Linked DNA regions of Diceros bicornis minor. The protein of the gene in region 1 purifies or fractionates together with the protein of each later gene. This does not show direct contact. Links are inferred from orthologs where the notes say so. Each region holds a gene or a part of one and is shown in the gene's direction. Other genes may lie near its edges.

Region 1 (7,581 bases):
TCATGTTCCCTTTGCCTTCAGCCTGCCTCTTGACTGTTCAGGGTTCTTTACCAGGTGACATATCCCAGATCTTCTTTTTTAAAAAATCTGAGCCCTTGGTGGATTTCCCTGTATAGAATTGACTTCTTCTGCAAACTCTTTATTTTGAAACACTTCAAATTTACAGAAATGTTGAAAGAATAGTACAATGTACATCCATATACCTTCATCCAGATTTGTCAATTATTACCATTTTGCCTCATTTGCTTTATCTCTTTACATATAAAAACTTTTTCCCTGACCTTCTGAAAGTAAGTTGCAGATATCATGAAATGTCATACCAAATACTTTAGCTTTTATTTCCATAAAGCTTGGGCTTCTTCAACCTCTAAATTAGCATCTCTCATCATTTGGGGAAAAGTATCAGTCATTTTCTCCTTAAATATTGCCTCTGCCCCTTTCTCTCTCCTCACCCTCTGAGACTCCAATTAAACATATGTTAGATCTCTCTATATATCTGCTGTGTTTCTACTCTAATTGGGTATTTTCTGTTCTTTTGTTTTACCATGCTGTATTAAGGACAATTTCTGCCTTGTAGTTCACTTGTTCTCTCTTCAGCCATGACTCATCTACTTTTTAACCAATTCATTGTGTTCTTAATTTTGGTTATTGTATTTTTCAGTTCCAGAAGTTCTATGCGGTTCTTTAAAAATTCTGTTGTGGCACTTCTTACTAGGTATTTGTTCCCTGCAGATATTTTTATGCTCATCTTTTACTTCTTTAAACATAGTAAGCGGTGTTATTATATAGTCGGTATCAGATAATTCCAATATCTTAAATCTTTGTGGGTCAATTTGGTTTTCTATTGTTTGTATCCATTCTTACACAAAGTTTCTCGTTTCTTTGTGTGCCTAATTATCTTTGATTATGGGCTGGATAGTGTATCTGAAAAAATATTGTTAGAAATAATTTGAGGCCTAGGATGACAGTACATTCCTTCACAAAGGATGTTGCTTGGTACCAAATATGCTTGCGTCTGCCGGCTTACTAGGGACATTATAAAGATGGGTCTACTTTAATCCAAGTTCAAGGCTCGAGCTTCCCTGGACCACCCAGATAACATGATTCTGGGCTACATGTCCCTCTTAAAGTGTGTATATGTCTGTGGTGGGGTATCTGACTTCCTACCCTGGTCAGGCTCTAGGTTTTAATTTTTTACCCTCTCTCCCCAAAGACTGCCAAATAACAGCTCAATTTCACAGTTATATCTTCCAGATCAGTAAATGCCCCCAGGACAAAATTTGCTTTGAATTCTGGGCTTATCTTTCTGGGTTTTAGCCTCTAAATGTTGGTCCAGTAATTCTTCACTTTATCATTAACTTTTCAATACTTTTAAGATTTGTGTGTGTGTGTGTATGAGGAAGATTAGCCCTAAGCCAGTATCACATGCCAATCCTCCTCTTTTTGCTGAGGAAGATTGGCCCTGGGCTAACATCTGTGCCTACCTTCCTCTACTTTATATGGGACGCTGCCACAGCATGGCTTGATAAGTGATGCGTTGGTGGGCGCCTGGGATCCGAACCCGTGAACCCCGGGCTGCCAAAGCGGAATGCGCACACTTAACCGCTATGCCACCGGGCCGGCCCCTAAGATTTTTTTTCACTTTCTGTTTTTCAGTTTGTCTTTAGTGGGAAGGTTGGAATTAAATACCTAACCAGGAACCTGTCTCCCATTAACTACCTGAACGTAACATTAAGAAGATTCCCCGGGTTTCATTTCTATTTCCCCCTGCCCCCACTGAGGAATAGCAATCCTATTTACCCTTGACGATTAGAATAAGCCCAACCAACAGTGGTATCCCCTTTTCACTTTCTTGCCTTGTGGCATGTGGAACGCAAAATGGCCCATTGGCAGTCTCAGCTCCTGTTTTAGAAGAATCATTACTGTGCCCCCTGGTGGAAGCATTCCTCTCCTGGGTCCTAAAGGCTCTAGATCAGCCAGAGCCCAGAGCTGCAGGAGCAGGAAACAAACATTTTGCAGAATCGTTAGTTGAGATTTCAAGAGGCTGGACCCTACTTCCACTCCTTGGTTCTCGTCTGCAAGAGAAACACTATATATACTGGTCACTGGTTCAGAGCATGCGGAGTATCTATTGTTCAGTGATGTAGCACTTCTTAAAAGAATCCTGAAAGAACTGAAAGCCACTGAGGTTGGGCTCATAATCTGACTTTCCAATTATATATAACTAGCCTACTTATTATTACTCATATTTTTATTGAAATATACATACAGAGAAGTACACAAATCTTGTGTAGTTCAACGTTTACAAAGTGAACAAACCTGTGGAACCACTACCCAGATGAAGAAAAGGAACATTACCAGCACCTCAGTAGCCACCTCATGCCCCTTCATTGTCACTATCCTCCAAAGGTAACCACTCTCCTGACTTCCACCCCCATAGACCAGTGTGTGTGTTTATGTAACTTTATAGAAATGGAATCATACAATATATGTCCTCTTCTTACAACTGGCTTCTTTTATTCAACATTAAGTTTTTGAGATTCATTCATGTTGTTGTGTAGCAATAGTTTGTTCCTTTCATTGTCGTTTAATCCATTCTACTGTTGTGGGCATTTGGGTTGTTCCCAGTTTGGGGCTATTATAATTAATGCTGTTGTGAACATTCTTGTACATGCTTTTTGGTGTATATATCCACGAAGGGAATTGCTGGGTCACCGCATAGGTGTATTTCAGCTTTAGTGCCAGCGTACTGTCTTAGTTGGCTTGGGCTGCTATCACAAAAGACCATAGACTCGGTGCCTTAAACAACAGACATTTATTTCTCACAGTTCTGGAGGCTGGGAAGTCCAAGATCAAGGTGCCAGCAGATTGGGCTCCTAGTAAGGGTCCTCTTCCTGGCTTGTAGACATCTGCCTTCTTGCTGTGTCCCCACATGGCCCTTCCTCGTGGAGAGAGAGAGATACCTGTCTTCCTCTTCTTATTAGGGCACTAATCCCATCGCGAGGGTCCCACCCTCACAACCTCATCTAAACTGAATTACTTCCCAAAGGCCCCACCTCCAAATACTATCACATTGGGGGATAGGGCTTCAACATATGAGTTTGGGGTTACACAAACATTCAGGCTATAACGCAGACTTTTGACTCCTGCTTGGGAGTCACCTCTGATACCCTTTGTCCCTACAATCATTTGGTTCCCAGGGGTAGAAGAGTGTACCAGTGTTGTCTCTGGGTTTTTCTTCCAAGCCACCGACACCCACTCTGCAAGTTTGGTGCAGGGTAGGCAGTGACAAATACCTCACAACTCCCATCTGCCAAACAAGATTATAAGGCACAGTGATGGTAAGACGTGTCCTGATTCTGAAATATTAAAATGGGGGGAGAGGAAGGAATATGTGCATTGTGGAATTTATGAAATAAGGTATATGACACGGACAAAGGACAAAGCCTTGGGGACTCTGAAAGTTATAGGTGGAACAGAGGATGGAGAGCCAGCAAAAGAAGCCGAAGGCACTGCCAGCGTGACAGGAGGACAGCTGGGATAGTGTGTGTCTCACAGACCTGGAGTGGAGTTTGGAAAAGGAGGGAAGGGTGAATGGTGTCACGGGGCTTGATAGGCCAACGAGGACACAGAAGAAATCTCTAAATCTTTTGAAGCAGAGGTGGTGGTGACTTTGTTAGTTGTTTCAAGTGAACTGGTGGAAACAAAATTCCCATTAAACCTGGGCAGAAAGAGACTTGGAAATAAGTCAACAGAGATAGGGAGTATAAACAGAATATTTGCTTTAAAAGAGTGAAAAGAAATGGGGTGATAATTGAAGGCAGACATTGGCTAAAGGAAGGGCTCTGATTTTTTTTAAGGAGGATATTAAGCCATGTTTCTACATGAATTTGCATGATTCAATAGTGAAGGAGAAATGAATGGTACAGGAGAGAGAGGGATAATTGAAGGAGGGAATGTCTTCAGAACATAAGTGGAGGGAAGGAGCTTAGAGAGGAGTAGGAAACAAGGGAGAAGAGGTAGGTACCAGAGAAGATGGTGGCTGGGTTTGGTGGTAGGAAGGTGAGGTAACTTTTGTCAGACCCCAATATCTAGGGCAAAGAACTGCCCAGTTCTGGGGGTTAATTTTCCTCTCCCTAAAACGGACATATGTTTGGGGGCCCAAGTGGACTGTGCACCCCTCTGACCTTCGCTACCTGCCAACTCCCGCCTGTGAGTAAGGGCAAAAGGTTAACCAGGAGGTTAAGGGTGGGCCAGGTACCAAGACGCACGCATGCGCTCCACGTAGCCCATCTCGGCCTGCCAGTTTTCACCAACCTCTCGCCCTCTCATTTCTGGACCAGGCCACAGCCTTGCTCCCTCCTCCCGCTCCTCCAAATGTAAGAGGTGGGGCTCGAGCCGGAGCCTCGGGGCGCGCACCCGTGTCCGCCGCGCCTGCGCACCGGGCTCCTCGGCTCTCTGGCCCCCGCGAACAGCCCCTAAGCTCGTTCTCCGTTGCTCGTTCTGGGGCGCGCGCGCGCCCCCAGGCGGCGCCTGCGCAGAAAGACAAGGAAACTGGTTCCCCGGAGGGGTCCCGGCGCCTGCGCGCTGCGGGCTCCGGGCCTCCCGGCCTGAGGGAGAGGAGCAGGGAAGATGGCGGCTGTGGTGGAAAATGTAGTGAAGCTGTGAGTGGTCGTTTCTTTTCTCTTCTCGGCCGGGAGGTCTGGTGAGGGGCTTGGGAGTAGGGGGCGGTGCGGGAAAGGACGAGGCGGAGAGAGGGACGTGACCGGAAAGGCCGCGTTGCGACTCCTAGCGGGGAGGGCAACAGGAGACTCCGGAGAAGACGTTGCGCTTCTTTGGAAACTTGTGGAGGCCCTGAGGGGGGCACACGGGAGCCCCTGGCGGGCAGCCCCCTGCGCCGTGCGGGGCGGGGCGGGCTCGCGGTGTCCGGAGTATGGCACCCTTGCTGCGTATGGGAGACGCGCGGTCCCGATGTCGCTCCCGAGACGCCGAAGTCCGAGTAGCCGGGCCGAGGGCGGCCCGGGACCGACCCCTCCCCGTCGGCCTCCCGCAGCCGGCCCTGGAGCCCCAGGCGCCGTGAAGCCCTGCGGGGTGTTTTGTTTAAACAGCCCCGTGACGTTGGGGGGGCCGGGGGTCTTGGTACCCAGGACCAAAAATATTCTTGGGAGGAATTGAGGAGCAGAGACAGAAGGGAAAGAACTTCAGGGGAGCGGACCTTTGCGCCTTCCCCTCCCAGCCATCCAAACACGGGACCGGGACGGAAGCGTCCAGGGCGCCCCTGCAGCCTGGGGGAGCAGCTGGGTCGGCCGGCCTCGCGCTGTGCAGTCCCCTTGGGCTGGGCAGATCGCGAGCCAAGTTGGTGGTGGTTGGGAAAATGGAGAATGGTTGTGAGCTGTGAGTTAAAGACGCTTTGGGACCTGATTTCACCCAGCCCCCTCCCCGAAGGAGAATCTGAATGAGTTCTGAAATGGGTTCATGCCCCATGGGCGAATAGAGCAAGCGCCTTTTCATGGGTTAATTGGGCTTAGTGTTGGGGTAGGAAAATTGAGAGGTGGCTAGTTGTCCAGTCGGGGCTTCTGGATTTTGACCGGATGACAAGGTAAAGGTTTGGGAATTCTTCTAAGGGTCTCACCGCTTTTCATCTGCCTTCGTGTTAGACTGAGCCCCACTCTTCCCAGGAGCCTTTTTTAAGAGTACATTGCCTCCTCCCCTCCTCCTGCCTGGAGCCTTTTCTTTGAGAATGCTTTCCCACTTCCATTAAGCTAAGTGCCTTCTCCTTCTCCTCTTGTGGTTTTTTTTCCTCCTGCTTTCAGCTCCATGCTGCTGCCTCTTTCATCCCCCTCCTCCCAACACTATTATCTTTCTCTCTGATCTGCCCACTCTAGTTTCCCCAGCTCTCTCTTCAGGCTGACATTTCCCTCAATTTAGAAATGACGCTGTTGATCTACCGTTTATATAGTTATCCTTCCTGACTCAGATGTTCTTTCTTTGTTTCCCTGCCTTTCTTTTTGTCGACTCCCCCCATCCCGTTATAAGGGGAGGTTTTACATGGGTTTCTTGCTTCTCGAAAAAGAATCAAAGCTTTAACCTTGGAAATCTTACTTTACTGGGGGAACGTCAGACTTGCCTAGGTTTTGAGAGTTATATGTAATGAGATTCTTTCTGTTGGAAGACTTTCTTCAGGGAAATAGAGTTGCCAACTCTTTCTTGTAGTTTTAGCAGTGAGGGGTTCCCCATTTAAAGAAAGCATGACTTCTTATTTCTTTTTGAAGAGGTGTAGAGATTATGAGGGTCACTAGCCACTGGTTCCTGAGTACTGCACCGGTAATGAGAAACCAACTTTCTCCTCCTCAGTCCTAGCTGCAGAGGGCTGTGGACCTCAATTAAATACATTCTCCTACAGAATTTTCCCTTTAAGAAGTGGCTTCCATTCTTTCTGTACCATTCTCACCTTGGAAAGAGACGCTTTTCTGGCTTTCTCTTGATCATGGTATGCTTTGTTTTCTGACAGCTGAGATTATACGTTGAGGTCAGGACTACTAGCTCATCTTTTCTGACTTGCATCTTATTCTGGGAGAAGAATTTTCCTATTTGTAAATTCTCTGTCCCTCTCAAATGTGGTGTCAGAATTGAAGCAGTCTTTAAAGGGTCTTATTAGGGTAAAATAATAGTATAAAATACCTGGGGCTGCTGACTGGTCTTGAAACCTTCTGAGTTAGGTAGCAAGATCTAGAGGATAATGTTAGCTTGAAATTTCTTACGATAGGAGCCTTAAGTTTTTAAGAGCTCTCTCACACTGTCTTACCCTCTCCTCATCAGATCCTCTTCCGCCAACTTAAGTGTTTCATTCCCAGCTCTCTTACTCACAAGACAGTTTGCCCCACCTTCTGAAATCCCACTTAACTCATAAGAACTTGGATAGAACATCTGTCATCCATTCCCCACAAACTGTTTCCAGCCTCCTTGCTCTGATTTTGCAGCTCTCAGGCCGTCTGGTCCTTCCTTCCATTTGATTTCCAGTGTCAGTATCAATTCCCATCAGCAGAAACAAAGGAGCTGCTGCACTCAGCCTTGTTTATCCAGTTTTCCTCTGTGTGCTGAGGACATGGCTGCCTCCTAAAGGCGAGCAACTGTGAGCCTGTTCCCTTCTCTCCACTCTGCAACACAAGATTCATGCCTACCTCAGATTACAGTCATTACAGCTCATTGACTCCAGCCAGCATGTCTTGTGGTGTCACCACCTTGTGTGTGGTATGTGTCCTTTTCAGTTGCTGGGACATGCTAAGCTGTGCCTAAGTGGTCTCTTGTGGCTGCTCAGTGAAAGCCCCCCCTCGGATTCCAGAGCAGGGTTTGTTGGTGTAGCTCGAGTTATGGATGTAAGCAATGGAGGCTTACTCTGTGCAGCTTCCCATGCTAGGACCCTCCCTTTTATAGAATATGCCAGAGCTTATCTAGTCTAACCTCCCCAGTCTGTAGCAGAGGAACCTGAGGTCCACATGGATTGACTAAATGTCCATGTTTATGTGGTGACTTGCAGCCAAGCCAGGTCGCTTTACTCCCAAGTCAAGATGTTCCAGACAC
Region 2 (7,270 bases), on another chromosome or scaffold:
CTGCCTCTCATGTCTTCATCTGCGAAATGGGGATAATATCACATATCTCACAGGGTCAAATGGATTAAATGGCATATATAGAGGTCTCTGCACAAACACTGGCATCTGATTTAAAGAAGAAATAAAAGCAAGCTGCTATTATAATTACTACTACTCTATTAAACAATTGCCATGTACACACTCATGTTACTCCTAGACTAATTTAAAAATGAACCAAACAAAACCTCCCTTCCATGCTCTTTATGTGACTGCAAGAGCTGTAGCTTCACTTCACATCCTACCTCCCCCTACAAAAAAAACCCAAAACAAAGCAAAAGGGAAAACCAAAAGCATATCAGCCTTCTCAGCTTGGAAAATAACATAAAGATTCTAAATACTTAGTAATCTTGTTCATTAACATGATGGTTAATAAAAGAAGACCTGCTAAATTCTCTATTGCAGATATTTTTCATATATATCTCTCATCCTTCCATTCAACAAAGTTTTTTTTTTTTTTTTTTTAAACAACATACAACATGCCAGGCATCTGGCTAATTGCTCAGGTTTCAGAGATGAATTGAACTTGCTCTGCACCCTCCAGGCACTAGCCATCTAGTGGAGGATACCAAAGAAATAATCGCATCAAAGTGATAAGTGCTGTAACGGAGGTACACACAGGTTGCTATGGGAGCAGAGTAGGACAAGTGGCTTCCTTTGCCTGGGGAGGGTAAGGAGGGCCACTGGAAGGCTGCTGGGCCAGAGTTGAGTCTTGGAGGATGTGGATTGGGAACCCACATTTCAGTCTGCGGGAAGTATATCCAACATGGCCCCTTAGGAACCAGAAGGTGGACCAGGTTTCCAGAACTCAGGCAATTGCATGAGGTCAACAAGGCTGGCAGACATCTGAACATACACAGGCTTGGATGGCATGCTAAGAAGTCTGAAATTTATCAGATAATGGATCGGGAATAGACAAAGACTCTTAGGATAGAGAGTGATATGACCACAAACAGAATTGGGGTGGTACTTTGGAGGGATGATTGTGGAGAAACAGAATCTATTGAGACTGTGGTTTGGAAAAAAGGAGAGAGAGGAGTGTTTATTTCTGTAATAAATTTAGTTGCTAATTCTAAACTCTCCACTAAATTAAATGTCGGCTGATTCACTTTGTCAAAGTTTTGTTTCCATTACTGTAGATGAAGTACTCATTTCCTAAATAGTCTTACTTGCTCCTATTTGAAGCCAGGCAACATTTCACCCGGCATGAACAGTTTGCCTGGTGGGAGTAGAAGCTTCCTAACTTTGTGCATGGAGTTTTTCTTTATGGGGGTGTTGTAACAAGATACCAGTTTTCAAACCCAATATCTACTCTATTCAGAACATGATCCAAAGCAGACTTATATAACAAGTGAATGTGGCCATACAGACACGAAAAAGTGACTTCTATCCCTTGATGCCAAACTAGAAAGAGAAAAGCAAGTTCAGAGAATACATTATGACTCATCAAAGTCCAAAAGGAAAAGCTTCATGTGAATCTAGCATCCCGTGCAGCCTCCTGGAGTCCTTTTAGCCTCCAACCATATTTGCTTTTGTGTGATTTTCTGCAAAACAAAAGAACCCCATCATTTTCCTCCTTAACATCACTTGTTAAATTTAGCTTTATCTCAGAGATGAAGCTCATGCAATATGTTCTACAAACTTCTTTTCTTACTGAGTAAATGGTGCTGCCTTTTCATTTCTCCTGAGCATAGGCCTTATTTTATAAAACTTCTACTTGCTGAAGTGCAAGCTACAGAAAAGAGGATTCTTCAGAGGACAGACCTGAAGGAAGAAGGTAGTGCTTTCTTAGACCAATGTGAAAGGAAAAGGAGATGCAATATCTATATTTAATCTCTGTTCCTAGCAATAGATTTTATTTTTCAATTCCCAAAGTTGTGCATATAATGCATGGATACCAATCCTTCCAAGTACTGCATCAAAATTTTATATGAGCTGAAGAATATACACATGTAACAAAGGGAGTGTTTTCTTCTTTATTTTCCCTCTGACAAAATGCCAGAAAGAATAGCCAGCCTCTTCCTCCAGTGTCTTACTAAGATGATTGCTCTCTTTTTGAAATTTGGCATGGCAGATGAACGTGGAATCGTAAAGGAATAAAGGGCACTCATTCACAAGGAAATAAAGGTGAAGTCATCAATTTACGAAAATCGGCATGGGAGTTTGGCATGCCACGGAAACAAATTTGGCCTGAAAAAATTAAAACCTAATATTACCTAATGTAATAAGCATTGCCATTAGGTTAAAGCCCTTTTATAGGCAACTAGGTTATCTGGCTATATTAATAGTTGCATTTTATTAGGCAGTTAGAAGTTATATTTTTACTACATTGCTAATTTTGTTTAAAATTTCTTGCCGTATATTTCCCAGCTAATAGTTACACTGGCATATCCTCAGGCAGAAAAACAAGTTCTTACAACAGATTCTTCAGGGCATGCTATATTCTATTTCTCTGAGATGGGTTATCTTTTGTTGTTTTGAGGTTCACTTTGGAATAGAGAGAAAATTATGAAGCTAAAGTTGACAAGCAAGGAACAAGGCCTGAGAAACCTACAGGGTGGGTGACCATTGACACCCCTGGCCACCCAATGGTGCCCTTGCAGATTCTACTTCTGCCAGCAGTGGACCAGCAACGTAAACAATTCCAGCCACTTAATGACCACATGAGGGCTTTGGTGTTCCTTCCATTGCTTCTTGTCTTCAACGTATCCAGTGCATAGTTTTAAGCATCCTAGAACTGCATTTCAGACTCAACTGCTCAAATAGAGTTAATTTTGCAACAGTAAAATAGTCTTAAAGTAGGATTTTACTCTAGGGGGAAAAATCCTCAACTAAATAGTCACAGTGCACTTTGAATGACTAATTTAAACCAGTACATTACAAAATAAGGGATAAATCATACTTTTCATAACACTACCATACAGGAACAGTTTTAATTTTAAGAATCCAGCACCTACATTAATCTGAGTCTAAAATAATAGGCCCCTGATTTAAAATCTCCTAACATTCTTTCACACTTCATAAAGCTAAAAATAAAATTGTCTCAGCAAACACTGACCTATCGTCCGGCCAAAGTGCTGTATTTCACGGAAAATTGAAACAAGAGGTCTCAAAACCGCAAAACACCAGCAGTTTACCGTCGGTAGCCTTAATTGGTCTTAACTGTGGGGTGGGAGAGAAGAGACTATGGTGTGTAGAGAATAAGAGATTTATTCCCCTTCTTAAATCAAATGCAGATGCCATGCTTCCACTGCCCCCTAACCCGCCCGCCCCGCCCCCAAGGGGTTGTTTTTCCATATTTTTGTATATATTTTACGTGAAGATGACAGGTAAGGGAAGGTTCAAGGGCTGTGTCTGGTCCACAAGTAAACAGAGGGGTTAGGGCAGGCTTCTTTATTTATAAGGCGTTCAGCCTCTCAGCTGTTTTTCCCTCGTTGGCATTTGGAAGCTTGCAATCCTTTAGAAAAGAGACAGATTTGGCAGGAATGTTCTTTGTGCCGGCCTTCCTTTTTACGGGGGAGAGTGGGGGCAGATTTATAATTACTGCCTTGGGCGGGGGACGGACGGGGGAGAAAAAGTTTCAGCCGGCACGACAATGCCTGTTTTTTTTCATGGTCAACACTGTGTCACAAACAGCTTTGGTGCCACTCAGAGCCCTTCCCTTGTCCCCTCCCTTTCCCTCTGCAGGCTGGCTCTGGCAGGCGGAGGCACAGTTAAATTCCAGCACCTTCTCCACATACCCCCAAACTACTACGCGCTATTACTACGGCTGCCCTCCCTTTCGCTTTGCCTGCTCTGCTTCCCCAGACTCCCCGGAGGAGCTCGGCAGCGCCCCTGGAAGAGTACTGCCAGGAGAGGGATAACCGGCGCCCAACTCCATCAGGGCTTGGGGCTGCCTGCGTCCTGCGCAGTTTCTCTGCTCCAGGCACAAACACGGCCCGAGAGCCGGCGCCTTGCAGACACACACGGATCCACGCATACAGTAGAGCTGTCTCGAGCCACATTCTTGCACACCGCCCCCTCCTCCCCCCGAGCTCCCGGAGTCGCTGAGCGGGGCGAGTGACAGGCGCGTCCCGCCAACCCGCGCCCGGGCGGGCAGGGAGGAGCGGCGCGTGGGGCCAACTGCGGTGCGTCTTCCGGCGCCCGTGGAGGCGGCGAGGGTGGGACGCGGGGCGGAGCCCGAGTTTAGGAAGAGGAGGGGATGGCTGTCATCAATGAAGTCATATTCATAATCTAGTCCTCTCTCCCTCTGTTTCTGTACTCTGGGTGACTCAGAGAGGGAAGAGATTCAGCCAGCACACTCCTCGCGAGCAAGGTAAATATAACTTACAACTCCTTTTTCCTCTTTCCCCTCCCTCCGGTCTCCCCGCTGCCGCCGCCGCACAAACCCCTCCGGGACCGCGCCGCCTTTGCTGGGGATTATTCATTATTATCCTAATTATTATTTATTGTGCATGCACGGAGACCAAAACAAACAGGCGGGCCAACCGCCACCACAAAAAAGCCCGCCTCCTCCCCGCGGGCCTCAGGTGGAATGCTCTAACGACAGCTCCAGGGCGGCGGTGGGAGAAACGGGAAAGTTTCAACCGAACCTTGCTGTTCTAATAATAACAGTAATAATTACTACTTCAAGGAGGCGAGGGGGAAAAATCCCAACAAACCACAGCCTTGACCCTGGGTAGCCAGTCGGCGATGCGCTGCCAACTCAAGGTTGCAACACACACACCTTCGGCAAGGTTGCAATCCCCCCATCCCCTTAAAAGCCGGGGGTGGGGGACTGAGGCGGAGGGGGAAGGCAGGAGGACAGGGGAGGAGGATGGAAACGCGACAATTCATCCCAAGCAGTCCTCCCGGAAGAGTTGGAAGGGGAGCGGGAGAGGAGGGCGAGAAGCCCAGGCTGGCGGCGAGGCGCCAACGAACGCGGCTGCCACCCGCTTCCCGGGGACTTGTTTAAAGGGCTCCGGCTGCGGAGAAGCGAGCGGATCGCGGCGGGAGAAGCCTGAGCTGGCGCGCCGAGGAGGCGGCAGCCACTGCCGCGGGGCCGGTGCGTGCCGGATCGGAGGTGTCACCTCCACTTTGCGCTTTCCCTCGGGCGGGGATGGGGACGCTGACCGGTAGGGAGGCCTTTAGGCGAAGGGGCTGCAGGGGTGCTGCACCCGGGGCTCTGCGGACGTCCCTGCCCCTGGTACCTGGCGGCCGCGCGGGCTCGGATGTTGAAGTTCTGGGTGTCCGGCCCGGGCCGCACTGCTAGGAGGGAGGAAGGAGGCTACGAAGAAGGAGGTCGGGGTGCCCGCCGGGCTCAGTTACCCTGCCCTCCCCGTCCCCGGGTTTGTTTTGCTTTGCGTCTTCCCCTAGCTTGAGCCGCGGGAACCGCGGGCGTGGGTCGTCCGCGATCGTCCGGGAGCTAGGGGCTCGCTGGGGCCCGGGAGAGCCGCCGTGGCTGCGGGCCGGGGAGGCCATGATCCGGATAATCCTCTCTGCCTGACTGTCACAAACAGGACCCGCGCGCACCCGGGCAGCGGCGGTGGTGTTCGCCGGAGAAGGGAAGGGCTGCGGGGGGGTGGGGGAGAGGAGTGGGGGGTGGGTGGCGAGGGCGGGAGGCGGGGAGACCGGGTGGGAGCCTCCTCCCAACGATGACACGCACCCCTTCCTTTTCGCTCCCTGCTTTCGAGTTTGCTTTATTCCCATCCCAACCTGGTTTACCCCTTCCTCTGCTCTCTCCCTCCATTGGCCGTCTTTCCTCCTCCCGTTTGCGTTGCAAAACACGGCCATGCCATCTGCAAAGGTGTCGCGATGCACTTCCCCAAATAATCGGTCCTGCGCGCCAACCCCTAGGCGTCCTCCGGCCGCGGGGCGCACACCGATCCTGGTGCCCCGGGTGCCCCGCACCAGGCCTTGCAGCCTGGGGGCAGTTGCACCGCGCGGGGCGGGGCGCAGCAGTGCGGGCTCCAGGGGACACCCGCGCCCTGGTCCGGGCACTGGGGCCGGTTTCCGGTACACGCGGGGAAATCGCCTCCTGCCAGTGTCTGCGCGCTCGCTCCCGCCTCCGCCGCCTGGATTGCATTATTATTTTTATCCGGGTTGCCGCTTGCAGCAGATCCTGGTGAGCGCGGGGCTGGCCGGACTGGGGGGTGGGGTGGAGGGAAGTTGGACGTGGATCAGGCAGGAAAAAAAAAGTTTGGCAAGGCTGCTAAGTAGGGTGGGGGGGGTTGGGAGGGGGCGGCGGGCTCCCGCGGCTCGCGTCTACGCGCCCTCGGGGCCGGCGCGAGTGTGTCTGCGCGTGAGTGTGAGTGTGTGTTGTGCGCGCCGGGGCCAGTGCGTCGGGAGCAGCGGCGCCGGCAGCCGCTCCTGCCCGCGCCCTCCCCGGGAGCCGGGGGAGCACAAGGCGAGGTTTGGCGGCGGGGGCAGGCGGGGGTGGCGTGTGCGTGTGGCTGTGAGTGTGAGTGTGAGTGTGCGCGCGCGAGCGGCAGAGAATCAGGAAGTCACAGCAGCGAAGCGCACACAGACATGTTTGATCGCCGTGACATGACGCGCGCGAGGGAGGAAGCGGCAGCGGCGGCGGGGGCCGGGCCGCGGGCTCGGGCGCGGGCCTAGGGCTCGGGCGGGGAGACCCGCTCTGGGTCGCGGGCCGCGCCGCCACTGCAGGCTCGGCCAGCCCCGCGCCTCTTTTTGTTCGGCGTCCCCCAGGTAAGCAGCCTGCGCCGCCGCCCCCCGCTGTGTGCGGAGCTTTCCAGCTCTCCCTGCCGGCCCCCTCCGGTCTGCCGGCTCGCCTTTCCTGCAAAGTCAGGCAGGCGGGGGAAACGGGCTCCTTGTCTTCCGATCGATTGCGTGGAAAACTTTCCAGCGGGAGGCACCGTGAGAGGGAAAAAGAAGGCCTTGCTGGCTGCTGTCGCTTGTCAGTTCTTTCTCCTCCGGGTCCGGAGAGTGGAGTCGCTGCGCCTTGGGGTTGTTGCACATTCAAACTTCGGGCCTAAACGTGCCTCCAACTCTCGCAGGATTTACTCCAGCAATAAAATTAATATTCCAAGTCGTCCACTTGGTCTTGCCAGGCGTTCGGATTTTTTAAGAGAAGGAGACAGGCTTGGGAGTCGAGGGAAATGGGGGTGTTGTGCAGAATCCATTCCTTCTTTCATGTCTGCACCGGGTGTTATGTAATTTAGTAGCACATGGGTGCAAAGCCCATACTGGGCTTCTCCCTTCCTTTGTTTATATAACTTTTGGGAGAGTTTTGCAA
Region 3 (6,907 bases), on another chromosome or scaffold:
TTGCCAATCCTCCTTTTTTTGCTGAGGAAGATTGGCCCTGCGCTAACATGCATGCCCATCTTCCTCTGCGTTATATAGGACGCTGCCACAGCATGGCTTGATAAGCGGTGCCTATGTCCATGTCCGGGATCCGAACCTGCAAACTCAGGCCACCAAAGCGGAGCTCGAACTTAACTGCTACGCCACCTGGCCAGCCCCAGAGCTTGTTTCTTTACTGGCCAAGTCCTCCGTGACATTTCAGGGCAGCCCTGAGTGTGTTTTAGGATAATTATTTCTCTCTCCTATTGAGGACAAGACCAAGCTAATATTTATCTTTTTTATTCTCAGGGCATGTCACAAAGTAGATTCTAGATAAATCTGTTGAATGAATAAGTGTAGTTTATCCTCATCCAGGTTTATTATCCCCACTATAATACTCTTAGTAAGTATAATAGTGCTACATTGGTCAGGGTTCCCAAATATATTTAAATTATTTTTTGCCCAGATTTTTTTCAATCTTATCTAATTGTTTTGCATCCTAAGCTTACAGGCCACTGTTAATTTGCATTGTTGTTTCAAATCAAATGCTATATGCCCTATCTTGCTTTTACTCAGTTATTCACTGCTAACGTCTAAATCGGAGAAGTGAAAAGGACAATTGTTTAGTGCTTTTTAAAGTCTCTGACCAAGATCAGTAGGGAAATCCCATTAGCTCCATTCATTGCATTTCTCATAAATCTAAAAGGAAAGCAAGTGTCCAAAGCCTTATTCTTTAATAGTTCTTATTTGTAAAACCTTGACAGGGCTTTATTCTAAATTGCTTCCAAATTACGGAAAGAATACTGAGAAATATGATGGGTAGTGAATCGTGCTAGTTTCAGTTATCGAATAAATAACCAGAACAGTCAAAAGGGGGCTAATCTGAAAGCAAATAGTATGATGGGCCACGATGAGGCAAAAAGAACAGAGCTGTGGCATTCTTAAACTACCATCTGGCTCAATCCTCTTTAAGTGGGCAAGTTGAAGAGGCTTTTATTCAGCACCCTAAAACTTATTCAGAAGGAGCAGTATTTGAATATTAATTTTTCATATAGTTAAAAAAACCCACCAAAACCCTTTTGTAGCCAAAAAGGGATGTTTAACAAAATAATGGGTAATCCTCTGGCTAAACATGAGGGCGTGGGGCAACCCGTGGGTGGGAGTTGGCTGTAGCCTAGTGCAGCCACTCGGCAGCTTTTGGGCCTCCACCTGCGAGGCTGCCTTGTGGCTGGAGTAACTTACTAAAGTTGTCATTATGGTTTGAAATTTAGGCAAGAGGTGTAGAAATAAGGAATTCATTAGGAAAAATGAACATGGTGGTTTCTAGTACCTTATATTATCCAAAAAACAATAATGTAGAATTGCCATATAGGATAATCAAGGCAAGTGACACAACAGAAAGGATCATCTATAGTTCAAATTGTGCTTTTGTGAAATGTGAACCTATTTCCTCACTTTCTAAACAGACCCCTGGCCGACTGCCGTTTTGTTTATTAAGTCCTGGATTTTCAAAGCGAACTCTAAGAGGCTTTTATTTTGTTTTCCTGAGAAGGTGTGTTTGAAAAGTACAAGCTGAATAAATCAGATCCCACTACTTATCTTCAGCAAGATGCTTTAAAAAAGGTATTTGAGCATTCTCTGTGGTTTAAAAGACAAAACCCAGTCCTGCTGGCTTTGTGTTGTGCTTTTCTTACAGACTGCAGTGCCTTCTGTCTGTTTTAGGGTGTGGCACCTGCCATCCGGGAGGAGAAGCTGGCATGTGTCGCCTTTTATAGCAGATTGATTTCATTGTGCTGAGGGCCTCTACTTCATAGCCTCTTGGTTCCAATCTTCTAGTTGACTTGCAGAAGCAAATGGAATTAAAAGAGATTTCAACTTATATCCTTACTTTTTTTTTTTTAGTTTCATGATTTATCCACATGAAAAAATATTTTTAAGAAACGGGCCAGAGCTGAACTTGGTGACTCATTTTCCCTTTTAGGATTAGCTGTGAAAATAAGCCACCAAATATGGCTACACTTGTATGAATTGACTTTGATATATTTTATCAGTGAGAAAAAATATACTTTTATGATTGTATGTATATATTTAGTTTGACTATAAGTGTCTAAAAGCACAAATATGTAATTGGTTTTAGAATACATGTATATACACACATACACAAAACAGACGTATTTATATTTGCATATGAAAAACTTTAAAAATTCAACTTATGTGCTGTAATGCATATAATTAGTATGGGTTTGAATATATAAAGGGAGAAAATGTCAAAAAGGTATACTAACAAAGATGTAGTATTCTCTTGGCAAAAACTGATGAATGATTTGGCATGAATTCATCTTACAGTTCTGTTATTCTCTCTTACACATGATGCTATAACCCGTTTCTCAGTCGTTTGCATAGAATTCAATTTGTTGTTTCTACACTCTATAATGACTCCTGGGTGATTCCCCTGATTTCTCCTTCCCCCCAGTTAGTCCCCAGTTTTTCCCATCTATCCTTTTCTATTTAGTCATGTAACATACCTGCATTTGGTCAAGCAAACAAAAATAACCACTGCAGTTGAAATCAACTAAAAGAGCCTTCCTGAAAAGCTTAAGAATGAAATTATTTTAGAAAACTACATTCTACCAAAATCATACATATTATTTCAGCTACAGTGACCTCTTGAAAGCTCTGGTTTCAAAGCCTTTCTCTGGATGAAAACTGAGTCCACACTAGTACAACTGAGCCATTGCTTAGGTTAAGAAGTCCTGCTAGTAAAGATAATTCAAAATGTTCCTAGGTGATGAATCTCCAATAATAAAAACACTTAAAATATCATAATGTGATAAAACAATAGTCTTTTGAAAAGAACAAAGTATGAAACATTTCTGCTCTAGGATTAGATTTGACTGATATTATTGAGCTTATGTTTATTAAATATAGCATGTATTTGTTTTAGTTTTGTTTCACATTGCTTAGATATGAACTCACATCAAGAGGGTTAATTGTGAGCATTAACCTCTGAAATATGATGAAAGGTGTCATACGGATTTATGAAGATATGAGATAAACCTTAGCTGTCGCTATTATGGCACCAAGAGTTCAATCTCCATGTGCAAGTGCTTGGGAGCATAACACACCGCTCTGCATACTTGAGGACTTCCCTTTAGCCAGAGAACAGACATGTGCATTGTATGCTCCTTTGGGAATACTTTGAGTTTTCATTGATAAGCCTACACACACATAAAGTGCCTTTAAAAAGTTATATCAACATTATTTTTGGGGCAGGTGCAATCGTACGCATGTATTGAGTACCTGCTGTGTACAGGGCACAGCGCGCCTTGAAGGCGGCTAACCTTCCCTTAAACTCTCCCTTAATTTTGCAGTTTGAAGAAGTTGTGGGAATTACGCGGACGGCCCGCCATCAAGACAGCGAGGCTCCCATTCTGAAAAATTACATAACTCCTGGGCGAGGCAGCGATCTTCTGCCCAGATCGCCCAAATATTTTCTTTCTCCGGCGGCTCTTCGGAACCTTCGAGGCCGACCGGCAACTTTGTTCCCCAGCCCTTCTCCCTCTTTTGTCTGCTCGTCAGACTCGTTTTCCACCTCTGGATCGTGCCTTTCCGACGTGAAAACAAACACGCGAACGCCGGGTCGGCAAGGAGACGCAGGCACGAGGGGAAGGTGCAGCCTCCCGGCGCCCCACGCCGCCGCGCCCCGGGCGCCCGCCGGGCCGGCCCGAGCCCCCGACCCGGGGCCGCCGGTGCCCGCGAGCCTGCGCCGGGGCGGGCGGCGGCGGCCCGGGCCGAGTCCAGTCCGCGTTTTGCGAGTGCACCGAGTCATCAGAGAGAAGTGGATAATAGTTGCTCGGCTCGCTCGGCTCCCTCTCCTGCCTTGCTGGGCCCGGGAGGCTCCGGCGGGCGTGTATTTCCCCAGATCCGGGGCAGAGAGGAAAAAAGTTGCATTTAAACCTGAACTCAAAACTTTCACCATGAAATCCCCCCGCGGGAACGGGCCCAGACCGTAAGGCGTGACTCCCGATCCGGCTCCGGCGGGGCCTGCGGAGGGGGAGGGGGCGCGCTCGCTTCCCGTCGGGGCGCGTGGATGCGCACAGGAGGGGCCGCCGCCTAAAAAGTGGGTTTTATTGTCTCCCCCCGCCCCCCGCCCGGCCTGGCCACGCCGCGGCGATCATGGCCGCGCGGGCAGCAGCGGCGGCGGCGGCGCGGGCGCGGGCGGGCAGCGGCGATCGGCGGGCGCCCCCCGGGCCGCGGCCGGCGCCCGGGGCCCGGGACCTGGAGGCGGGGGCGCGCGGCGCGGCGGCGGCGGCGGCGGCACCGGGCCCCATGCTGGGGGGCGGCGGCGACGGCGGCGGCCTGAATAGTGTGCACCACCACCCCCTGCACCCCCGTCACGAACTGAACATGGCCCATAACGCGAGCGCGCCGGCCGCCGCCGCCAGCACCAACAGCGCCAAGAGCGGCGGCTCCGAGGCGGCTCTCAAGGAGGCTGGAAGCGCCGCCGCGCTGTCCTCCTCCTCCTCCTCCTCCGCGGCGGCGTCCTCTTCCTCCTCGGCGGGCCCGGGCTCGGCCATGGAGACGGGGCTGCTCCCCAACCACAAACTGAAAACCGTTGGCGAAGCCCCCGCCGCACAGCACCACCACCACCACCATGCCCACCACCACCACCACCATGCCCACCACCTCCACCACCACCACCACGCACTACAGCAGCAGCTAAACCAGTTCCAGCAGCAGCAGCAGCAGCAACAGCAACAGCAGCAGCAGCAGCAGCAACATCCCATTTCCAACAACAACAGCCTCGGCGGCGCGGGCGGCGGCGCGGCTCAGCCCGGTCCCGACATGGAGCAGCCGCAACATGGAGGCGCCAAGGACAGTGCCGCGGGCAGCCAGGCCGACCCCCCGGGCCAGCCTCTGCTGAGCAAGCCGGGCGACGAGGACGACGCGCCGCCCAAGATGGGGGAGCCGGCGGGCGGCCGCTACGAGCACCCGGGCCTGGGCGCCCTGGGCGCGCAGCAGCCGCCGGTCGCCGTGCCCGGGGGCGGCGGCGGCGGCGGCGGCGGCCCGGCGGCCGTCCCGGAGTTTAACAATTACTATGGCAGCGCTGCCCCTGCTAGCGGCGGCCCCGGCGGCCGCGCTGGGCCTTGCTTTGATCAACATGGCGGACAACAAAGCCCCGGGATGGGGATGATGCACTCCGCCTCAGCCGCCGCCGGGGCCCCCAACAGCATGGACCCCCTGCAGAACTCCCACGAAGGGTACCCCAACAGCCAGTACAACCATTATCCGGGCTACAGCCGGCCCAGCGCGGGCGGCGGCGGCGGCGGCGGCGGAGGAGGAGGAGGCAGCGGAGGAGGAGGAGGAGGAGGAGGAGGAGCAGCAGGAGCGGGAGCTGTGGCGGCGGCGGCCGCGGCGGCGGCAGCAGCAGCAGCGGGAGGCGGCGGCGGCGGCGGCGGCTATGGGGGCTCGTCCTCGGGGTACGGGGTGCTGAGCTCCCCCCGGCAGCAGGGCGGCGGCATGATGATGGGCCCCGGGGGCGGCGGGGCCGCGAGCCTCAGCAAGGCGGCCGCCGGCGCGGCGGCGGCAGCGGCGGCGGGGGGCTTCCAGCGCTTCGCCGGGCAGAACCAGCACCCGTCGGGGGCCACCCCGACCCTCAACCAGCTGCTCACCTCGCCCAGCCCCATGATGAGGAGCTACGGCGGCAGCTACCCCGACTACAGCAGCCCCAGCGCGCCGCCGCCGCCGCCGCCGTCGCAGCCCCAGTCCCAGGCGGCGGCGGCGGCGGCGGGGGCGGCGGCGGGCGGCCAGCAGGCGGCCGCGGGCATGGGCTTGGGCAAGGACATGGGCGCCCAGTACGCCGCTGCCAGCCCGGCCTGGGCGGCCGCGCAACAAAGGAGCCACCCGGCGATGAGCCCCGGCACCCCCGGCCCGACCATGGGCAGATCGCAGGTAACCCCCGCGCCGGCCGGGCCTGCTTCCGCCGCGGCGGCCTGGGCGCGCGCCGCGAGCCCTAGTTTCTTTCTTTCCGCGTACTTTTTCCGCGTCCTCTGCCGGGGGAGGCGGGGGCGAGGCGCCCAAAGCCATCTTAACTCGCGGCTGCCTCCCTCGGAGGCCGGGGAGCGCACGATGTCCGGGCGCGCGGCCGGGGGACCCCGGGGCCTGGGAGGGGGTCTCGCCGCGGGCCGGGCCGGGCCGGGCCGGGCGCCGGGGTTCCCGGTGGCCGAGCAGCCGCGCCTCGCCACCCCGGCCCAGGCGCGGGGCCCGCGTGCGGGAGTCGGGGACGGCGCGACGCTTTTGTAACCGAACAGGCGCTCCCGGCCAGTGCGGGCTGGACGGAGATATTGACCAGGTCTTCCCGGTTCGCGCCAACAATAAGCTGGAACTGGGAAAAGAAGGGGGAACTTTGTCCTCCCTCCGGCCCCACTGCGTTCCCTCTTAGCTTACAAGGTGGAGGCAGGCAAAATAGGTTAGCTTTGTGGCCTCCGAGGATGTTTTCCGTAGTTCTGCCCAGCCATGCCGAGACATTCGATGCGGGGCTTTGAGTTTGACGGTTCGGTAGCAAAAATGAGACCCGCATTTACGACGATGTGGAGGGAAAATATTCTAAAATATAGCTATTCGTTCCTAAGAAGAGCCAGGAAATCCATTATTTGGCCCAGGCTGCTTGAAAGGAGTCACCTTCAACAGAGAGGCTGTGTTCAAGCAACACATTCCGGTTAAATTGAACTTATTTTGATCATGGACGAGGCACACTTTTTATTCAGCAAGTGCAGGAAAATAGCAGAGCAGTGAAAATGGATCTTTTGGGATCGGATTTATTTGGATTTTCTTGAATTTGCTGTCACCCGAGTCCTACTGCGTTATTAGGAAGTGTCCTGCGCTCTTG
Region 4 (7,125 bases), on another chromosome or scaffold:
GGTCTAGCCAGGGTTCCCTGGGGGCCTGGGACTTAGGCCAGGCAGGTAGGCTGGGTCAGAGCTGCCTCTGGGGCCCCTGGCATGCCCTGGGGTTTAGTGACCAAAGGAGAAGGTGGGGGCTGGGTTTAGGGATGCGCCAGAACATAGAAATCACTGGGTCCGCAGCCTGAGAGCTCCAGGTGGCCTCACTTGCTCGCTCGCTCGCTCGCTCGCTCGCTCGCTCTCTCGCTCTCTCTCTCTCTCTCTCTCCCCCTCTCTCCCTCTCTCTCTCACATACACACACACTCACACGCGATGTCTTTCTGCTAAGGAAGGCTTTATTGCTAGGGGTGTAGGGTGTAGGGAAAAGGGGCAGCGGGAAGAGGTCTCTCCCTTCAGTCTGGTTTCCTTTGTTCCTCCCTTGCCTTCCTCCCTCTCCCCTTCCAGCTTCCCTCCTCTCCTCCTAGCCGCCTTCTTCCATTCTCCCTCCCCCTCCTCCCCCCTCCCCCTGAGCCGGTCCCCGTAATGGGACCTCCACAGAAGGCGGGGAGGGTGGGACTCCGGGCTCCGGCCCCAGCCTCGGTGGCCGTCTTCCCGCAGGGAAGGAGTTAAGTCTCTTCGCTGCATCCCTCCTCCCTCCTCTGCCTCTCCCCGCCGCCTCTGAGTCCTGCAGCTAGGCCCTGGGCTGACCTTCACCGGGAGGGAGGCCGCAGTGCGCATGCCTGGGCCGGCTCCGGGCCGGCTCCCGCCGCTGTCCCGGGCCCCCGCGGGCGAGGGTGAGGGCGGGCGGCCGCGGGCCGGGACGTGCCCCCAGCGCTCGGGCGCGGTGATGGTGGGGGGAGGGGGCGCCGAGCCCATCCCGCTGGCCGCGGCGCATCTCTCCCTGCGCGGGGAGAGGCGCTTTGCCATTTGGTGCTGGTGGTGCTTCGGCGAGGGAAGAAGAGATGGGGGGACGGCAGGGGGGACTCCGGCTCCGGGCCTCCGGGCGGCCGCCCTGTGCCCGGACACGCGCACGGCCTGCCCGGAGCTCGACCTGGGCCAGTTGGCCGCGGCTAAGGGCCCGGTCCGGCCTGGAGGACAGCCCCTTGCCTGCTGGAATCGGGCTTTCCCTGGGCCTCCTTCCCACCGGCAGGAGCCAGCGGCATGGCACTGCTGAGCGCCCTTCTGGGGCTGAGACTTCGGGGTTCCTGGCCTGTGTGAGGTGGGAGTCCTGGTTGGGACATCCACACTGGCGCCTCTGCTTTCTAGTCTGAAGGGTCTCCTGTGTCCTTACACTTAGGGTTGCCCCCGTAAAAGCAGCATGCAAACCTGTCTGCTGGCGGGTGCCTTGTGAATTGGGCCTTGCAAGTGGGATGTGGAGGTGATCAGGGTGTGCCTGTGTGTGAAAATCTACGTGGCTCCTTGTCCCTTTGGCGTTTGCATTGGTGTGTGCCTTGGGGCGTGTATGCACTATATATCTGTTGTCTGTGCACACATAAGAATGTCTCCCAGAAAGGGGGCTGCAGGGGGAGGCCCTGGTCTTGGGGTGGCCCTGGAGGGGGTTATCTATAGATTTGAATGACTTGTGGGCTCCTCCTCAGGTACCACCAGAGCCTTTGGTCTAACCACCTCCTGCAATCTCCTCCACCACCAAGACCAGCCCCTCACAAATGCTGGGTGTTCCCACTGCCCTTCGTGCCCTTCCCTCAAACTTTTCAGCTGCCCAGTCTGGGGTGCCCATCCACCTCCTCTGCTGTCTTCTTTTCCCAAAAGGCCTCTCCAAGAGTTGAGAACTCTGAGCTTTACACAAAGCCTAGAGGTGACTGCCCCTGCCCAGTCCCCCAGAACCTCCAAGACCTGTGGGTTCATGTGTTCATGCTAGAAGCACCCATGGGGGGTGGGGTGCCCATGGTGACTCACACGTCCAGGTAAGTGTCAGAGCATGAGCTCGGTCCACTGGCCCACTGAGCTTTGGGTGGTTGCAAGCGTTAGCAGGCATTTGGTCATGTCAAGTCCCTGTGTCCAGGCATGAGGGGAGAGTGGGACTTAAAGACCGGTCTCTGACTTAAGGGAGCTGCAGCCTATTTGGGAAACCAAATCTAATATACGTGAACCACAGGGCACATCAGACATTAGTCAGTCAAGTGCCAATTCATGGTGCAGGGTGGATGGCAATGGGCATTTGGAGAAGAGAAAGACCTGTGCATAGGAGTGGGACCAGGAAGGCTTCCTGGGGGAGGTGGGGCGAGACATGGGCTTTAAAGGATGAATGTGATCTGGACAGGCAGAGGAGCAGTAGAGGGATTCCAGGCAAAAGAATAGCTGGAGCAGAGGCTTAGAAATGGGAATGAGTGACAGGTTTTAGAGGTTAGTGGACAAACTAGAGAGATTACCTCTCCAGGTTACCAGTAGCCACCTTCATGGCCTATGGCAACTGCCCACCCATCCCCACCCCACCAGGGCCCAGTCTCGGTATGTGTGGCTCTAGGGGGAAGCCTGGGTAGAGATTTAATAGGAATGGAATCTCTAGGTCCCCTGCTAAGCCGGCCGTAGAGGAGGGGTGTCCTGGACACACGTCCTCTCTGGCCTTTCAGGGGATTGACAGTGGGCACCTAAACGGACAATGACAGCCAGGTGCACAACCAGGGCCCAAGGGAGTCAGGCCGCAGGCAAAGAAGGATCCTGGAGCAGAACACTCCCTTGGTTCTTTGTCCCAACCTCTGAAGGCATTCTGAAACATTGAGGGTCAGGACTCCCCAGTGTAATGCTGGGTCTGCAGGGTTTAACTTCAAATAAGTTTTCCAACACATTCCCCCAGGCATCGCCCCATCCTCACCTAGATTCTGACAGTGCAGCCCCAGGAGGCCCATAAAGTTGACCCACTGTTGTCCCAAAGCCATGGGCCTCTCCTCCAGGAGGAGAGAGGGGTGTGGCCTTTGGAGGCATGGGCGGGGCCAGGGCTCCCAGCCTGGGGATCTCAGGATTTGCTCCTCCTGTTTCCTGTCCCTCCTGTACCCCAGGGACTGCCAGCTTCCTCTGCATTGCCCCTTCTGGGGCTCCCTCATAACCCCATAACCCTGCTTTCTTTGGGGTTTTGAGGCTGGCCCTACCATACCCAGCCGGCCCAGCTCCCCTGGTCTCCCACCACCAGCCCATTCCAAAGCCATCAGGGCCTGCTTGCCTCACTTCCTCCACCCATCCACCCAGGCACCCACCCCAGCTCCTTGCCTCCCCCATGTTTCTCTTCCTGCTCTTGCCAGCCCAATCCACCTCCCTCTTTCTGAAATACTTCCCCTATTGCCCTCACTTTCTCACATAGAGACAAACAAAGACACATACCCAGAAATAGACTCACACGGCGCTGGAAGACACAGGCCATGTCCTGCCACACACGCACCCGCACGCGCGCGCACGCACTAGAGGCTCTCGTGGAGGGAGGCACACAGAGAAGGCATTTGTCTGTGCACGCACATAAACATCCACACCCACAGCCACCGCGCCGTGCCCACACAAGGGTGCAGACACACACGGCGGGCGAGACAAGGGCGCACACATCTGTGGACGCAGGGGGACACCGCCTCGCTGGGCACACCCACCACTGCCGGCCTGGTGCAGGAGGAAGGCCTCCTCTGGGCTCCGGCTCCCCCCGGATTCCTTCCAGAGAATGTTTCCCTACTTGGCCTGCCAGGTCTCTGGGGAAAGGGCCTCAGAAATGCAGCAGGAGCCACTTGGGGGGAAAGTTGGAACTGACTGTTCCCTGCCTGGCCCTGCCGGCGAATTCTCTAACCGAGAAACTATTTGTGGCGAGAGCCCGGGTGGCCGGCGAGCCCCTCGCCACCTCCCCTCGCGTCCCCTCCCCGCGGCCCTCGGGCAGCCTCGGGCTGCAGTGGCGCTGCCCAGCGCCCAGGAGCCGGGCTTGCCGGCGTGCCTCGCTGCTTATCTGCGCTGTTTGGACAGCGAGGGTTGGAAAGGCAGGCTTTTCTGTCCCCGCCGAGTCAACAGGCAGACCCCGGGCCGCCGGACTATTTCTGTCTTATCAGTGCAGGAATGCGGCAGCCGCGGCGGCGGCGGCGGCGGCGGCGGCGGCGGCGGCGGCGGCGGCGGGCGGGCGGCGGCGGCGTGGGCCGTGGGCCGTCAGGGCAGCCCTGAAGGGGCCCCCTCCCCACTCCGCTCGAGTAGAAGTGTGAGAGAGCCCAGCAGGACTCAGAGGGGAGAGTTGGAGGAAAAAAAAAGGCAGAAAAGGGAAAGAAAGAGGAAGAGAGAGAGAGAGTGAGAGGAGCCGCTGAGCCCACCCCGATGGCCGCGGACGAAGTTGCCGGAGGGGCGCGCAAAGCCACGAAAAGCAAACTTTTTGAGTTTCTGGTCCATGGGGTGGTGAGTGGGGGAAAGTTAGCGGGGGAGGGTGAGGAGCTGGCTCGGGCTGAATGGAGGGATGATCGGGAGGGACCAGCAGGGGGGTCCCGCTCTCCCACCCCTCTAGCTGGGGGCGCCAGGGCCCGCGGCCCAGCGCCACCACCGTGCTGGCGCCCTGGCACCCGAACACGTCGTCAGGCGGCCGGCCAGGGATGGGTGTCCGGGCGGGGAAGGGAGGCGTTTGCATGGGTTCTTGTCAGGGGATGGGGGTGGGACTTGGGGACTGCCCCCTCAAGTGGGGGTCCCCTCGGTACCAGACATGTTGTCTTCCGTTCTTTTCCTTGTGGGCCCAGGTGTTACCCTTGCCCTAGGGTGGGGGTGGGGGACATGGCATCGGCTGGGCTGGGCTGTCTGTTCATCCATTGGGACAGTGTCTCTCTGATGGTGTCTTGGGAGCAAGGAGCAGGTGACCCTGGAGGCACTGTGAGCGGGAAGCTTTCTGGCTGAACAACCTCTGCATCCTGGCAGGAGGGCTCTGGGGCTTCACTGATGGACTCTGCCATCAGGGTCAGAGAGAGGCCTTCTCTAGGGACAGACCCCAAGTTAAGGGATCTGAGGATCCCCTTGGCAGACTCCGCCACCAGAAGCTGATGTCCTTAATGCCTCAAAGGTGTGAAGGAAGGGCTGGAGTCAGGTACACAAGGCCTAGAGACCAAAGGGGCAGGGCAGCACGTCCTGCCATGAGCAGACTTGGAAGGCATGCAGGGAGCCGAGGGAGCCCAGGACAACCTGCGGGGATGGGAGCTTCAAGCTGAGGCAACAGGGGCCAGGTTGGCAGGGATGTGGGGGGCAGTGGAATGGGAGAGGCAGGGGCTTCGGGACTTGGGATGGGTGCTGGGGTTGGAGCCGGGTATAGAGGAAGCAGTCAGGTTTACTATGGCCAAATTTGGTTGTGACCCCAAGGAAGGCATGTTCTCAGTGAGGGAGGCCAGAGTCCCTAGAATCTTGGCCCTTCATTGGTGGCTGGCACAGCTCTCTGGGGGCTCTGGGAGCCTCCCTCTCAGGGCCTCTTGTGCAGATCAGTGAGTATCGCTGTCCTTGATAAGTGGGAGAGCATCTGGTAGGGAAAAGGGGCTTCCCTGGGGCGGCCTGTCCTCCAGCCCCGGGGATCTCTGGGGTAACTTCCCAGGGGTGCCTGTGTCGGTCAGCCAAGTTTCCAGTCCTAACCTTGCTGCTTGGGGAAGTCCCTTTAAAAAGGCCCATCTAGGAGGGAGAGCGGCTATGCACATGGATTTTTTTATTTGGCCAACTTAGAGCTTCAGTTCTTGGGTGGCTGTGAGCCCCACTGCCCCACTCCCCGTGCCCCATATGTGCTCGTAGGGAGTGGCAGTGCCTGGGCTCCATTCTGGAGTGTGAGTGACAAGGTCAGGTGGGGTGGGGGAGGCCAACACGTGGGCAGGCAGGTTTCACTGTGGGAGAGATGGGCAGAGACAGCTGGCTGGCGGGGGGCGTGGGGGGGGGCATTGGTTAGGGTTAGACATAGTGCAGGGCAGGAGGGACAGGAGGGAGAGTTGGCAGTTAGAAGGGATTCACCAAGCTCAGGCTCCTCCTTGTGCCTGGGGGCAGCTGCACTTCTGGGGGTGCAGTGGGTGGTGTTTAAATGATAACAGGGTTACAGGGTCTGCATCCTTTGCTCCCTAATCTCCTTCCTGCTCTCCTGTCCCAGTCCCCATCTCACCCACCCTCCACTTTATAGCCCTCTGTCCTTCCCCAATCCCTCTTCTGGAATCTGGACAAGTAAGGTTTAAGAAGGCTATGGAACACTTCACTCAATGAACTTGCATCCCAGTGGCTAGGGACTACACCTGCTTGTCTCCCTCTCCATGGCCCCCTTTGGGCCCTGCCTGGGGTGGGGGTGGGAAGTAGAGAAAGTCTGTAGGATGGGACCATCTCTGGTGATCCAGGCAGACAGGAAGAGAGAGATGGATATAAGAGAAAATGCTGCTGCCTTTGACCTACACAAGCCCTCTGGGCAGCCCACCCCCAGCCCAGCTGTCCCTTGCCCTCCCAATCAGAGAATCCTGGCAGGGTCTGGCCTCAGCTCACTCAGGTTGCTGCCAGCCCTGCCTCCAGCCTTTACCTTGGGAGCAAATTATGGGAGTGGGCTAAGTCAGCAAAGCATCTAGGTATGGAGACTTGGAATCAGCCAAAGGGGGTGGGGGTTGGGACTAAGAGGGCAAAAGCTGGGGCCCAGGGAGAAGAGTAGGTTAAGATGGGAAGGGTGAGTGCAAGGCAGGACAGTCCAGGAAGTGGACTGGGAAGCAGGGAATGGGAAGAGGGGCGGCAGGAGTCGCAACAGGGACCTCAGCCCCTAACCTAGAGGAAGCAGCGGAGGGCAAAAACCCTTGGCCCCTCGGGAAACGACTGCTCAGTGGCTGCTTTTGCCAGGAGGAGCGGTGTGACCTTGGCTAGGTCGCTTTTCTCCTTGAGCCACAGTTGCCTCATCTGTCAAGTGGAGATGGAAGGACCCACTCAGTCTGTCTTGCAGAGGAGCATGTGAATGTGCACATTCTTTGAAAAGGTTGAAAAGGCGCCGTTAAATATTCATTTTCATGGTACCTTCCTCAAATCCGAGGCTGGCAATGCCCTGTGCAGTTGCCTGGCTTCAGTTAGCTTTCTGCAGCCAGACGCAAAGCCCCCTCCGCCAAAGCTGCGCGGTTCCGGCGCTCCTGCCCCTCCCACCCCTCGCTCACGCCGGCGGCATCAGGGTCACTGGCCGGGGGGCTTGGGGTGGGGGAGACGCGGCTCCCTGCT

The links.
Region 2: the proteins of DPF2 (region 1) and SMARCA2 purify together in Homo sapiens (affinity purification with mass spectrometry; 6 studies listed by BioGRID and IntAct, counting the BioPlex papers as one, with this or other methods). This does not show direct contact. The link is inferred for Diceros bicornis minor from reciprocal best matches to the Homo sapiens genes DPF2 and SMARCA2.
Region 3: the proteins of DPF2 (region 1) and ARID1B purify together in Homo sapiens (affinity purification with mass spectrometry; 7 studies listed by BioGRID and IntAct, counting the BioPlex papers as one, with this or other methods). This does not show direct contact. The link is inferred for Diceros bicornis minor from reciprocal best matches to the Homo sapiens genes DPF2 and ARID1B.
Region 4: the proteins of DPF2 (region 1) and SMARCD3 purify together in Homo sapiens (affinity purification with mass spectrometry; 3 studies listed by BioGRID and IntAct, counting the BioPlex papers as one, with this or other methods). This does not show direct contact. The link is inferred for Diceros bicornis minor from reciprocal best matches to the Homo sapiens genes DPF2 and SMARCD3.

The regions. Positions count from the first base shown.
Region 1 is NC_080770.1:7,847,539-7,855,119, reverse strand, and holds the start of DPF2 (zinc finger protein ubi-d4), read left to right. Parts: upstream 1-4,572; 5' UTR 4,573-4,632; coding exon 4,633-4,664; intron 4,665-7,581. UniProt on the Homo sapiens protein: Plays an active role in transcriptional regulation by binding modified histones H3 and H4. Is a negative regulator of myeloid differentiation of hematopoietic progenitor cells. Might also have a role in the development and maturation of lymphoid cells.
Region 2 is NC_080761.1:26,386,259-26,393,528, forward strand, and holds the start of SMARCA2 (probable global transcription activator SNF2L2), read left to right. Parts: upstream 1-4,251; 5' UTR 4,252-4,351; intron 4,352-4,913; exon of another isoform or gene 4,914-5,080; intron 5,081-6,038; exon of another isoform or gene 6,039-6,139; intron 6,140-7,270. UniProt on the Homo sapiens protein: ATPase involved in transcriptional activation and repression of select genes by chromatin remodeling (alteration of DNA-nucleosome topology).
Region 3 is NC_080778.1:12,667,708-12,674,614, reverse strand, and holds the start of ARID1B (AT-rich interactive domain-containing protein 1B), read left to right. Parts: upstream 1-3,900; 5' UTR 3,901-4,194; coding exon 4,195-5,970; intron 5,971-6,907. UniProt on the Homo sapiens protein: Involved in transcriptional activation and repression of select genes by chromatin remodeling (alteration of DNA-nucleosome topology).
Region 4 is NC_080742.1:96,904,031-96,911,155, reverse strand, and holds the start of SMARCD3 (SWI/SNF-related matrix-associated actin-dependent regulator of chromatin subfamily D member 3), read left to right. Parts: upstream 1-4,121; 5' UTR 4,122-4,254; coding exon 4,255-4,332; intron 4,333-7,125. UniProt on the Homo sapiens protein: Involved in transcriptional activation and repression of select genes by chromatin remodeling (alteration of DNA-nucleosome topology).